Bombyx mori: one gene and its partners. The protein of the gene in region 1 interacts with the protein of each later gene in a pairwise test. Links are inferred from orthologs where the notes say so. Each region holds a gene or a part of one and is shown in the gene's direction. Other genes may lie near its edges.

The links.
Region 2: the proteins of transcription initiation factor IIA subunit 1 (region 1) and deformed epidermal autoregulatory factor 1 interact in a two-hybrid assay, tested with the Drosophila melanogaster proteins (2 studies listed by BioGRID). The link is inferred for Bombyx mori from reciprocal best matches to the Drosophila melanogaster genes TfIIA-L and Deaf1.
Region 3: the proteins of transcription initiation factor IIA subunit 1 (region 1) and histone H4 transcription factor interact in a two-hybrid assay, tested with the Drosophila melanogaster proteins (2 studies listed by BioGRID). The link is inferred for Bombyx mori from reciprocal best matches to the Drosophila melanogaster genes TfIIA-L and Hinfp.

What each region holds. Positions count from the first base shown.
Region 1 is NC_085117.1:13,411,502-13,415,097, forward strand, and holds transcription initiation factor IIA subunit 1, read left to right. Parts: upstream 1-849; 5' UTR 850-1,371; coding exon 1,372-2,340; 3' UTR 2,341-2,853; downstream 2,854-3,596. UniProt on the Drosophila melanogaster protein: TFIIA is a component of the transcription machinery of RNA polymerase II and plays an important role in transcriptional activation. TFIIA in a complex with TBP mediates transcriptional activity.
Region 2 is NC_085107.1:2,583,274-2,586,810, reverse strand, and holds the start of deformed epidermal autoregulatory factor 1, read left to right. Parts: upstream 1-737; 5' UTR 738-1,360; coding exon 1,361-2,072; intron 2,073-2,197; coding exon 2,198-2,437; intron 2,438-3,537. UniProt on the Drosophila melanogaster protein: Transcription factor that binds the homeotic Deformed (Dfd) response element. High affinity binding sites contain at least 1 TTCG motif surrounded by additional TCG sequences.
Region 3 is NC_085127.1:12,664,371-12,668,188, forward strand, and holds the start of histone H4 transcription factor, read left to right. Parts: upstream 1-890; 5' UTR 891-1,094; coding exon 1,095-1,343; intron 1,344-2,135; coding exon 2,136-2,283; intron 2,284-3,091; coding exon 3,092-3,333; intron 3,334-3,818.

The sequences.
Region 1 (3,596 bases):
ACTGAAAAAACCGTGTTTCATTCGGCATTGGTATCGATTTTGTTCGTTACAATATTTACTAAAAGAAAATTGAGGTAAATGAGTACTGTAACCCTCATATTTTGATATTTATAAATTTTTAATATTATATTGAAGTCAGAATATATAAGAATGTTCCATTAGAATACCTTCTTACCAATTGTCGTGCTTTAAAAATCTGTCACAGAAAGAAATGTATTGAGTCAAATGAATTGATGATGATTGATGTCAAATTAATAACGAAAGCATATTATTATACACTACCTTTTCAACTATATAAGTTTAAGCCCCTATTTTAAATATAAAAACTTCAACGTCATTCGTTACAAAAAAAATGAAAAGCTTCGACAAAGACGAAAAGTTCTTTCCAACATTTGGATTTCCCGCCACAAAAATACTAAAATTCAATTATTGTCTATGCCACCAATTTTAATCAACATTTTTTACAACCACTGAAAAACTGAAAAATCTATCTAAAATAACAATTAAGTTTATAGTTACTCTTGTTTCATAAACGTCCTATTATGCGGTTTTATTAAGAATGAAGTCTTTAAGTTTTCATAGTACAAGATAAAATTGAGTGTTGCGTTGCTTGTACTCAACAGTGCAATAGTTTAATATAAATAAAATATAAATATTATTTAGTCAATATTATTTAACAATGGTTTAAGTAGAAATGAATTTCATTAAAATTGGCTTGTAACGAATTTTTTTGAATGAATACCGTTTTTTGTGAAAATTCTATATTTTTAAATTTCATCATTCAATGTTATAACAATAAATTTTAGATATGCCAATTTTGTTTTGAAATTTTAAAGTGGTGGCTCTTTCCTTTCAAACCGTAAAATCAATTTAAAGGCAACTACCCAAGGCGCAAACTCACCAATACGTAATCAACCGGGGCGCGGTGCGGGGCGGTGCTATTTCTCGTACTCATAACGCATGCGCCATCTTTGTCGTCGTTCAATGTCGGAATCAACGAACCATAGACAATTATTTCTTTAAAGGCTACGAAATATTTCCTCGGTTTGTAGGTTATGTTTGAGTGATCAATTGTCAAAATTTTTATGGTGAATTTATAAATTTGTCTCTCTTTATGTAAATGGACGTCATAAAAGTTAAAATAAGCTACTTTAGCCACATATTATCTTAAATATATAAAATTGGTCATCAACATTAGTGAATTAACAAACTGTGTGAATTCCAGAAATTTGACATTGAAATGTTGCGATGTGAACTCAGAAGACAAATAATCGGCTCTAAACTAAACTAAACAGATTTAGAAACAAGAATATCTAGTTCTGTGAACATTTTACACTGTTAAACAATTTTCAACTACAGCTCGATTGCAAAATGACAACGAGTCAGCTCGCAGTATTGAAACTTTACAACATAGTGGTAGACGACGTGATATCCGGAGTGAGAAATTCTTTCTTAGATGACGGTGTAGACGAACAAGTGTTACAAGAACTAAAACAACTATGGAAGACAAAGCTTCAAGCCAGTGGAGCCACGGACCCGTTACAACCTGAGCCGATGCTGCCACCTCCTCCAGTGTTACAGAATTTCCAAAAAGTAAATGGTAGTAATGTAGTGCATAAAAGAACTGACATGGGACATACTTCGGGGCAACAAGAACATAGTGCACCAGCATCTAGTGTAGCTGGAACGCATACTCATCATATTCTAGACCCTAATAATAAAGTGCCAGTTCAGCTTACATTACCTGCTCAACCTGGAGTTCCAGGGTCCCAGCCTCGTTCATTTACCATTCAAATTCCAGCATCAGCTCTGAACGGCAACAAACTGCATCAGGTCTTAACAGGTCCTATAATAAATGCTACCATTAGCCTTCCACAACCTCTAGCTGCTACTTTACTGCAACAACATATCAACTCGGCTTTAGCAGGACAAAAAAGTGATTTTGATAGCGGCGGAGGCGGCCGCAGTGGAACTGCTCCTTTCTCTTTAGATGGTGCTTTGGACTCTTCTGATGATGATGGCTCAAACGTAGGTGATGGTTCAGAAGACGGTGCAGCAGATGATGATGATGATGACGATTCTCCCGAAGAGCGGGCAGAAGAAGAAGAAGAAGAACAAAATGAAAGTGGTGGTGCTGAAGAAGAACCCCTAAATTCCGGTGATGATGTATCTGATGAGGAGCCAGGGGACATGTTTGATACTGATAATGTAGTTGTTTGCCAATATGATAAAATTACACGCAGTCGCAATAGGTGGAAGTTCTATCTCAAAGATGGAATCATGAATCTAGCTGGAAAGGATTATGTATTCCAAAAGGCTAATGGTGATGCGGAATGGTGATTATAGACAGTGTGTATTTTATAGAAAATTATTTGTTATATCTCGGAATTAGGGCTTAAGGTCTCATAATTATTATTTCGTTATTTCGACATGTAATTTGATGTCTGTATGGCAGATATCTGTGTAACAAGATTACGATAAGATTGTTAAACAAATTATGAAAAAAAAAAAACAATCTTTAGTAGGTAGATTTGAAGTTTTCTAAGACACTAGTATTACCAATAGTAAAAAACTCTACCAAGCTCCTTCAGTCTCACTTCCCATTAGTGTGTTTTTTGTACACTACTGAGACTACTACTTACTAATATAATTACAAAAAAAAACACAAAAAAAAATCTAAATGAAAGATATTTATTTGACTTTGTGCTTCTAATATCGAGATACATATCTTGACTTATTGGGTATTAATAATGTACAATACAAAAGAAGTTTGTGAATAATTTTGTTATCTCTTAAGTTGATGCTCTTTAATTTAAATGCCACTATTAAAATTACAATAAATGTGACACATGACCCATGTTTTTTTTATAATATTGAAAATGTCCTTAATTTCATTTGTTTAAACAAAAAATATAATGCATAAATAAACAACTTTTAAATTTAATAAAAATGAGTTAAATTTCCTCTTTAAAAATGAAAAAAATATTTATTACAGAGTATGTAAGATCAAAGATAATTTAAATATCAAACAAATAGTCCTTATTAGAAGCAAACAATTAATTTGGTTTTTTTTTAAATTTCTACATCTCAACAATGGGCAAGGACTGCAAGGGCATGATACTTTAAAATGTAATTATTTCTAATATAATAATATTATAGATAACGTTTAGGGGGTTTTATTTTAATAACGAATTAAATTGCACTCTTAATATTAAGACTTAAAAGGAAAAATAACTACACACAAACTCATATGAAAGCTATTTTTACAGAAGGAGAGTCATCATGTTTCTAATGTAAAAAAAATCAGTTAGGCTGCTTTAAAAAAGTATGGTAAATTTCAAAACAGAGTGCACTTGTCCACAATGATCAACCTATTATTTTTATTATTCACATTAGAATATTGTTTTTTTTTCTTCATTATTTCACTGGCTTAGTAATCTATCCATGTATTTTAAAGCAGATGTTTGAGTTTTTTTTTATTGCTTTGATGAATGGACGAGCTCACAGCCCACTTGGTGTTAAGTGGTTACTGGAGCCCATAAACATCTACAACGTAAATGCGCCACCCACCTCGAGATACAAGTTCTAAGATCTCA
Region 2 (3,537 bases), on another chromosome or scaffold:
TACAACAAGTACAAGTACAAGTGCAAGTTTGACCTTTCCTAGAAGTATTTTAATATGACACTGTTCAACATAGTTGCTTGAATGTAATATTAAATTATCATTTTCAGCGTGACACCAGGTAATCGCTTCTTTTCCAATGTACTATCATATAAACTGATAGAGTGGAATGCATTCCTATTCCCCGAAACCAAGCCACTGCCTTTAACCAAGAAATCTACAGATCACGTATGTGTACGTGATTATATCTGCAAATCAGTTTTTCCTTTTCCCTTCAACCATTATTTAGTTTTGAAAAAGCCTGAGCTTTAATTTGCGTTTGTGGTATTTCCTTAGCCCTTTTCTAAAATCTTCTTCTTTAACCGTGGTTCAAGCCATAACGGCAATCAAAGGTGCTATACGCCCTCTCATTCACGACCACGTGACTTATATTATCACGTACTCTTTATTGTAATTTTATTTCTAAATACGTAAACAAAAAACACTCAATATTACTCTTACCATACCAAGAATGTGCTTCAATCATCATCACCAACGATCATCGTATCATATGATAAGGTATCAATATTGATACCTTTATAATTAAGCAACATATGTCTCAAAAACTATTAATAGGTATTGTGCATATTGAAATATTGTCAAGTAACCTGTTGGTGTATGACTGGCTTTATGTCTCTTAATTTAAATATAGTTTTTTTCTGTATATACCTATCTACGTTATGAAAAGTTATATTTATAAATTTAAGGCAGGATTGATTTATTATCAAATAGGAACATCAACTAAAATGCTATTTACGCAATAAGATAAATTCAAGTGAAGTATGTACACAGTTTCAATTTTAGAATACGAAAATACACTAATGCAAATTTCTACTTTGTTGATAATATAAATGTGTTCTATCGTACATATTGAATTTTCAATGTCTGTTTACGAGTTTTTTTACTGGAAATTACAAATATGATACTTATTTACATCAAATTATTTAATCTAATACTTATTATTGTTTATTGCTCCTTTGAACCACTACAGAGGAAGACTATATGCATCATGTAACCTTCACAATGATAATATTTCACATTAAGTTTAAAAGAAAATAGATAATTTAATTAGTATGTAATATTATGAGATTATTAGCATTTCGGATGATATTTGATAAATTTTAAATTTGCCGCTTTTACTTAGTTACGAGAAGTTACGTGAAATGAAATGTTTCTATTTCGATTTAATTATGGCGGACGATGATTGAACGATAGCATATCTTTTATTTAGTAGGAACGAATTAAAGTAAATAAACGTTAATGTAATTGTCGGAAACAGTCCAACACCGTGAAGGTGTAGTGCCGGGGTGGGCGGATACAAGATATGGCCGAGAATAGAAGTTCGGACAACGTCGTCATGCCGGACATTACCGAAGTATCCGAAGCCGATCCATTGTCGACGGCGACCGAGCACGACAACGAGCGGGTGGAGGGCACGTCTGTGTTGTCTACCACCATCAAAAACACCCGGCTGTCCAATGATTCTAACGGAGTTGTGACTGTACCAGTCTCGTTGCCAGTTGGGACGCTCATCGCGGGTACCACCTTCAACGTAATCACGTCAGACCATTTGCCGCATTTCAAGCCAATGATCTGCGTTGACAATGGTTTTATTTCGGGTGGGCCAGTGAGCGATGAGTTAAAAGCAACACACATCGTCATCCAGAACCCTCCTTCTCCTACTCGAACTAATTGCGAGGATGTGGTGGTAGCTGCGCCTGCGCCGCGATCGATGAGTGCACGATCATGGACGGAGACTGCGAACATGCCAGTGCTGCCGGTACGCTGTAAAAATACATCAGCAGAGCTCCACAAAAATAAATTCGGTTCAGGGGGCAGAGGCAGGTGTATCAAATACGGCATAGAGTGGTACACTCCTAGTGAGTTCGAAGCTCTATGTGGCAGAGCCTCTAGCAAAGATTGGAAGAGGTCTATAAGGTTTGGTGGAAGAAGTATTCAAGCTCTCATTGATGAGGGTATTTTGACTCCACATGCTACAAGCTGCACTTGCGGAGCTTGCTGTGATGATAAATCTGGTAAGTAATGCATGTTAAGTATGCTACAATTGAATATATTTTGAATGCTAAATTGCTGTGAATTTTTAAGCAGTAGTTTTATTAGTATTATTGTGATTATAAACCTGTAATAATGAAATCTACAGCCATGGGACCAGTGAGACTATTCACTCCATATAAAAGAAAGCGAAAGGAAGAAAGAAGTGAGAAGAAACCAAAAATTAAAAGAGAAAGCAGCATTGGAGAGAGTGAAGTGGATAACATACACCAGAGCAGTGAGAATAGTCACTCAAAAGAAGCTTGGCAGAGCATCGCTGAGGGTTTGGAAACTACTACCGATTACCAGATACTGGGGAACCCTGAAATCAAGACTGACCCCCCTCCAAGTAAATATTTTTATATCATAAATATTTATATGTTGAATTACTAGCCTTTGCTGGCTATTACAGCATTCAAAATAAGATTAGAAAACAAAAAAGCTAACTAGGATATTTTTCATTCTTTTGTATTAGAGCACATATTAGATCTTAGCGGCATGGGTGACATTAATTTAGATCTCTTTACTGTGACAAATATTTTGCAATAACTTTGCTAAATGTTGCAAATTGCGACCACTTGCGAATGGAAATTATTATTATAACATTAAATATTTTACTGATTAGTGACTGTATAAAATAAAATTTTAAATGAAATTAACAATTTACAAATTGGATGACAAATTTACAATTGGATGCTCAAATGGAGCATGCATTATGTATGTACTGGTTTTGATGTTACTAAGACAATTTATGCCTCATTTAAATGATAATAATAGTCAATTTAAACATTAATGCAAAAAATTGATATTTACGTATTTTTTCTCAGAAGTCTAGAGTTAGGTGTCTCTATGTTGTTTAAATTGATTGACAATTTAATGTAGATTTTTTGAATAAACAGCTTGCGTAAAGTTCAAGAATTTACATTGTTTTCTGTAGGCTATCAAAAATACAAGCTAAGCTATCATTAATTAAAATTCTGTTTGCAATGCAAAGAAATGGCAATGGCAACCATATACTTAAGCGAATTTTAAAAACAATTTTAACAAGAATTTTGTTTATCAACTATGGCATTTAGTAGATGATCATACCACTTAGATCATCTTAAAAGCTCTGTATAACCTAGTTATACACTACTGCTGCACCATCTCAACATTCAGCATGTGTGTGCCAAGCGTAATGCCATTATATCATCCTCTTATTGCTCATGCCTAACTTTTAAATATTTTCTCCTCCATCTGCCAAGAGGACTTCTTTGTAATAATAGTTCATTATCGGTCAAGTGGCCAGTGATTTCTTTTGTTGTTATTATCCTACTGTTATTTAACTTAACTACTGTTATGCTGGCAGGTAATTTGAGTTTTATTTATATTAGGGTCAGTGTCTATTGACTTAGGTAAATTAATAAAAAATTGTTGCAATAGAGATGTCATTCCTGTAAATATGATGAG
Region 3 (3,818 bases), on another chromosome or scaffold:
TTTTCCCATCCAAAAATTTTGAGTGGAATTAAGATGACATGACATAAATCATGAGCCAACTGTGGGGGCAAAGCTGTATAATTAATAGATGGGCTACATTTGATTATGTTTTGTTTGAATTTGTGTAAAGTTTGGCCTAGTTTTTTCATAATTTTTTTGTGAATTAAAATATTCCAATAAATTTTTGTTGTATTGTTTGTATCGATAAAATTGTAATATTGTTCCAATAAAATTTTATGTAGTAAAATGTCGAGTGTGGTTTTTTCCAAATTTATTAAGAAAGCTGGTATCACTGATTCTAGATTTTATTTTTGTTAGACTTTTTGGCGGAAACGCGAGGAGTGAAGTTGTGTGTTTTGTTTTAATTTGTCTATTTTGTGTTTCTTCAGGTTTAAATGTCTAGTAACGGTGGTTTATCAACTGTTTAGTATCTGTAAAAGTGCACAAATGTGGGAAAATGTCATCCTATATCATATCACCTCATCTCATTTCATTTCATTTAATTTCATGCCATGCCATGCCATGTTTCATAATAAATTAATCAGCTTCATTTCATAATACCATATTTCATATTTAAAAAAAAAAATTTAAGGTTTCCATTTAGAAGAATAAAACTACTACTACTACCTTAAATATAATAAGTGTATAATCTATGACTGCCATTTCTATGATTTCTACTTGTAATCTTAGTAAATGACCACCATTTTACTGAGATTAGATTTCATCTCATATCATCTCATTTAATTTCATCCTAGTTGATTAATGTCTCAAATTAATCATTTTCATCATTTCACTCCATAATAACATTTTTCATAAAATTAAGAATATAGATTAAAATAAGACATGACTTAAAGATCTCAGTTACCAGGTCATAAAATCTCTTAAAAAAAATGATTTCTACTTGTGGTTTATTTTATATTTCGTGAATACAATTGAATACATATTAATTAATTTTCAACTATTATAGTCCAGCGCTTAAAGAAAGTTGAGTGATTTGGTTGCGAATCCGCATATCTCAATATTATAATGATTATTGCTTACCAACTTCCTTAGGTATCTTTTGAAAATAACGTATATTGGAGTAAATAATCATCATGTCAGTTAAAAAAAATGTGGAAATTCAACACAAAATTAAATTAAACCCTAAACTCGCAAGTTCTTTGCGGTGTATGCAATGGTTAAAGCATCAGAACAGTCCATCAAACAAGAAGGTTTTACAGTCAAAGAATGATGTCCTATTCGTTCAGACGAATAAATTTGAAAAACCCGAATTTTCAAATCTGGACACAGAAGATACCATTCCAGACGGTGTTAACGAATCTGTCATTAAACCAAAGACTGTGGTGAGCTTCATTTATTATGCACCGAAATGCTATGAAAAATATTAATTGAATATAAAGTTTGCATCGTTTTCTATTGAAACTAGGTGCATGGAGAAAATTTTAATCTCCCTATTTTGTGTGCTTTATTTATTTTGTTGCCTCTATGGGTGGCAGAGCTCACAGCCCACCTGCTGTTAAGTGGTTACTGGAGCCTATAGACATCTACAACGTAAATGCGCCACGCACTTTGAGATATAAGTTCTAAGGTCTCAGTATAGTTACAACGGCAGCCCCACCCTTCAATTCGAAACGCATTACTGCTTCACGGCAGAAATAGGCAGGGTGGTGGTACCTACCTGTGCGGACTCAAAAGAGGTCCTACCACCAGTAAAAAAATTCTGTACCATGGGAAGTGCTTTGAAAAATAGTTGAAAATAACATCATCGCCATTTTATCACTGCATTGCTCGCCTACATGCTCTGTAAGACAGCTTACTGTCTTCAGATTTTCTACATCACAACCTTTGAAAACTTTTCTTGGGTTGTTGTGTTAAAATTGGATTGTGTTTTTATTGCTTAGTAAGTTGAATGAGCTAACAGTGGTGTTAAGTGGTTACTAAAGCCTATAGATAGCAGCAACATAAATGCCCCTAACCACCTTTTGACATGAGTCCTAAGTCTCAGTTCTAAATACAATGGCTGCTTCACACTTCAAACTGTAACTCTATTTGCTTCATACTATTGCTTTACTTATGAAAAGTATAAATAAAGATTCATTTCAATTTTTTTATTATTTGAAAATTATTTGTTTCAGACTACAAAATTTTTACGAATTTCCAAACTGAGCTTGGCTTGTGAGTGGCAGGGATGCAAATTATTAACCAATAATTATGAATCATATCAGAAACACGTCATCGCTCATTTCTCTGATGTGATTCAAATAATAGATAAGGAAGAAACTGGTTAGTCAAAGTGGTATGATTGATAAGTGTAGTTTTTAGCTGAATTAAGCAGTTACTCAAAAGTGGAGCCCATAAGATGCCAAAACATGTGTACTGTGGCCACCTTGAGATATAAGAATGAAGTCTCAATTATCTTCAAGTGGAATGCATGTATGCTCTATGGCAAAATCGTAATACCTACTGGTGGACTAAAATTATGATACAAAGATATAGATGAGTCGACTATTATCAAAGCCGGCAATGTGACTTTGGACAATTATTGGTAAATCAGAAAGACGAATTATTGACTTTGTATTCCATTGGCAGTCACTAAACTCTTCTGAACGACATCTTAGATAAATAACAGGTTAAGTATTAACCTTTATTTAATGCAGGTTTTGAACCGTATTCTTTGAAGGAGACGATTATATTCAAATCAATCTGAATTGACATATCAATAACATTTATTTGTCCAAATGCACAGATTGCCACGTTTGATAATAGACGACTCAGATGTTGAATGGGCTTGACTCCCATATGCCACTTGAAAGTCCTTATTTATGCATGTTTCAGAGAGCAAGCAATTCTAGATAGGGCAAAAAAAAAGGTTACACCTAACTGCTATATCTAGTTACATCAGACTTCTTATTAAATTTTGTAATTTAGTTTTTTTTTTATATGAATTTTGTTCACTCAATTGTTGTCTGGAATTGGTAGCTCCTCCAGACAACGGTCAAATGTTTTGCATTTGTGTTTATATTGGTATACAATAAAGCATACTCGATTCTTAATAAGACTTAATAACCATATTGTTGTGTTTATATTTCAGTAATGTATTCTTGTCTTTGGGATGTTTGTGGTCACAAAACAAAGGATTATAATGAGATGTTTCGGCATTTAAATTACCATGCTTATCATGGGAAGTTGCTGGCGATCGGCCTCAATGGTAGAGCTACATTAAAACTGGAAAGATGCAAGAAGAACTCCACTAAAAGAAATCAGTTACCTAATTTACCTAATGAACATATTTGCATGTGGACTGACTGCAATAGAAAGTTTAACTCAATACAGGTGTGTTACGAAAATATAACAAAAATAATGGTTTGATTAACAAGGACAGGCTTGCACTGGTGTTAAGTGAGTACTGGGGCTCATGAAACCCGTAGTGATAATCTGTACTTTAAGGCAGTCTTGATTTAATTTAAATAATACCTATCAAATTCATATAACCCATACACACACAGCCCACTGAGTTTCTCGCTGGGTCTTGTCAGTGGGTCGCGTTTCCGATCCGGTGGTAGATTCTGCGAAGCACTGCTCTTGATAGGGTCAGTGTTAGCATCACTCCGGTCTGATCCCGTGAGCTTACCCACTAGTTAAAGTTACGCTGAAATAGCCTCTCAAGGCTATCAGATTAAGTAGGAAAAAAAAACAAGGTTATGCTGAAATAGCCTCTCAAGGCTATCAGATTAGGTAGGAAAAAATAATAATCTTGAACTCAGAATTAATTGGGGGTTGCCATAAAACTGGACCAAGGTGGTCACGACCCTCAGTAA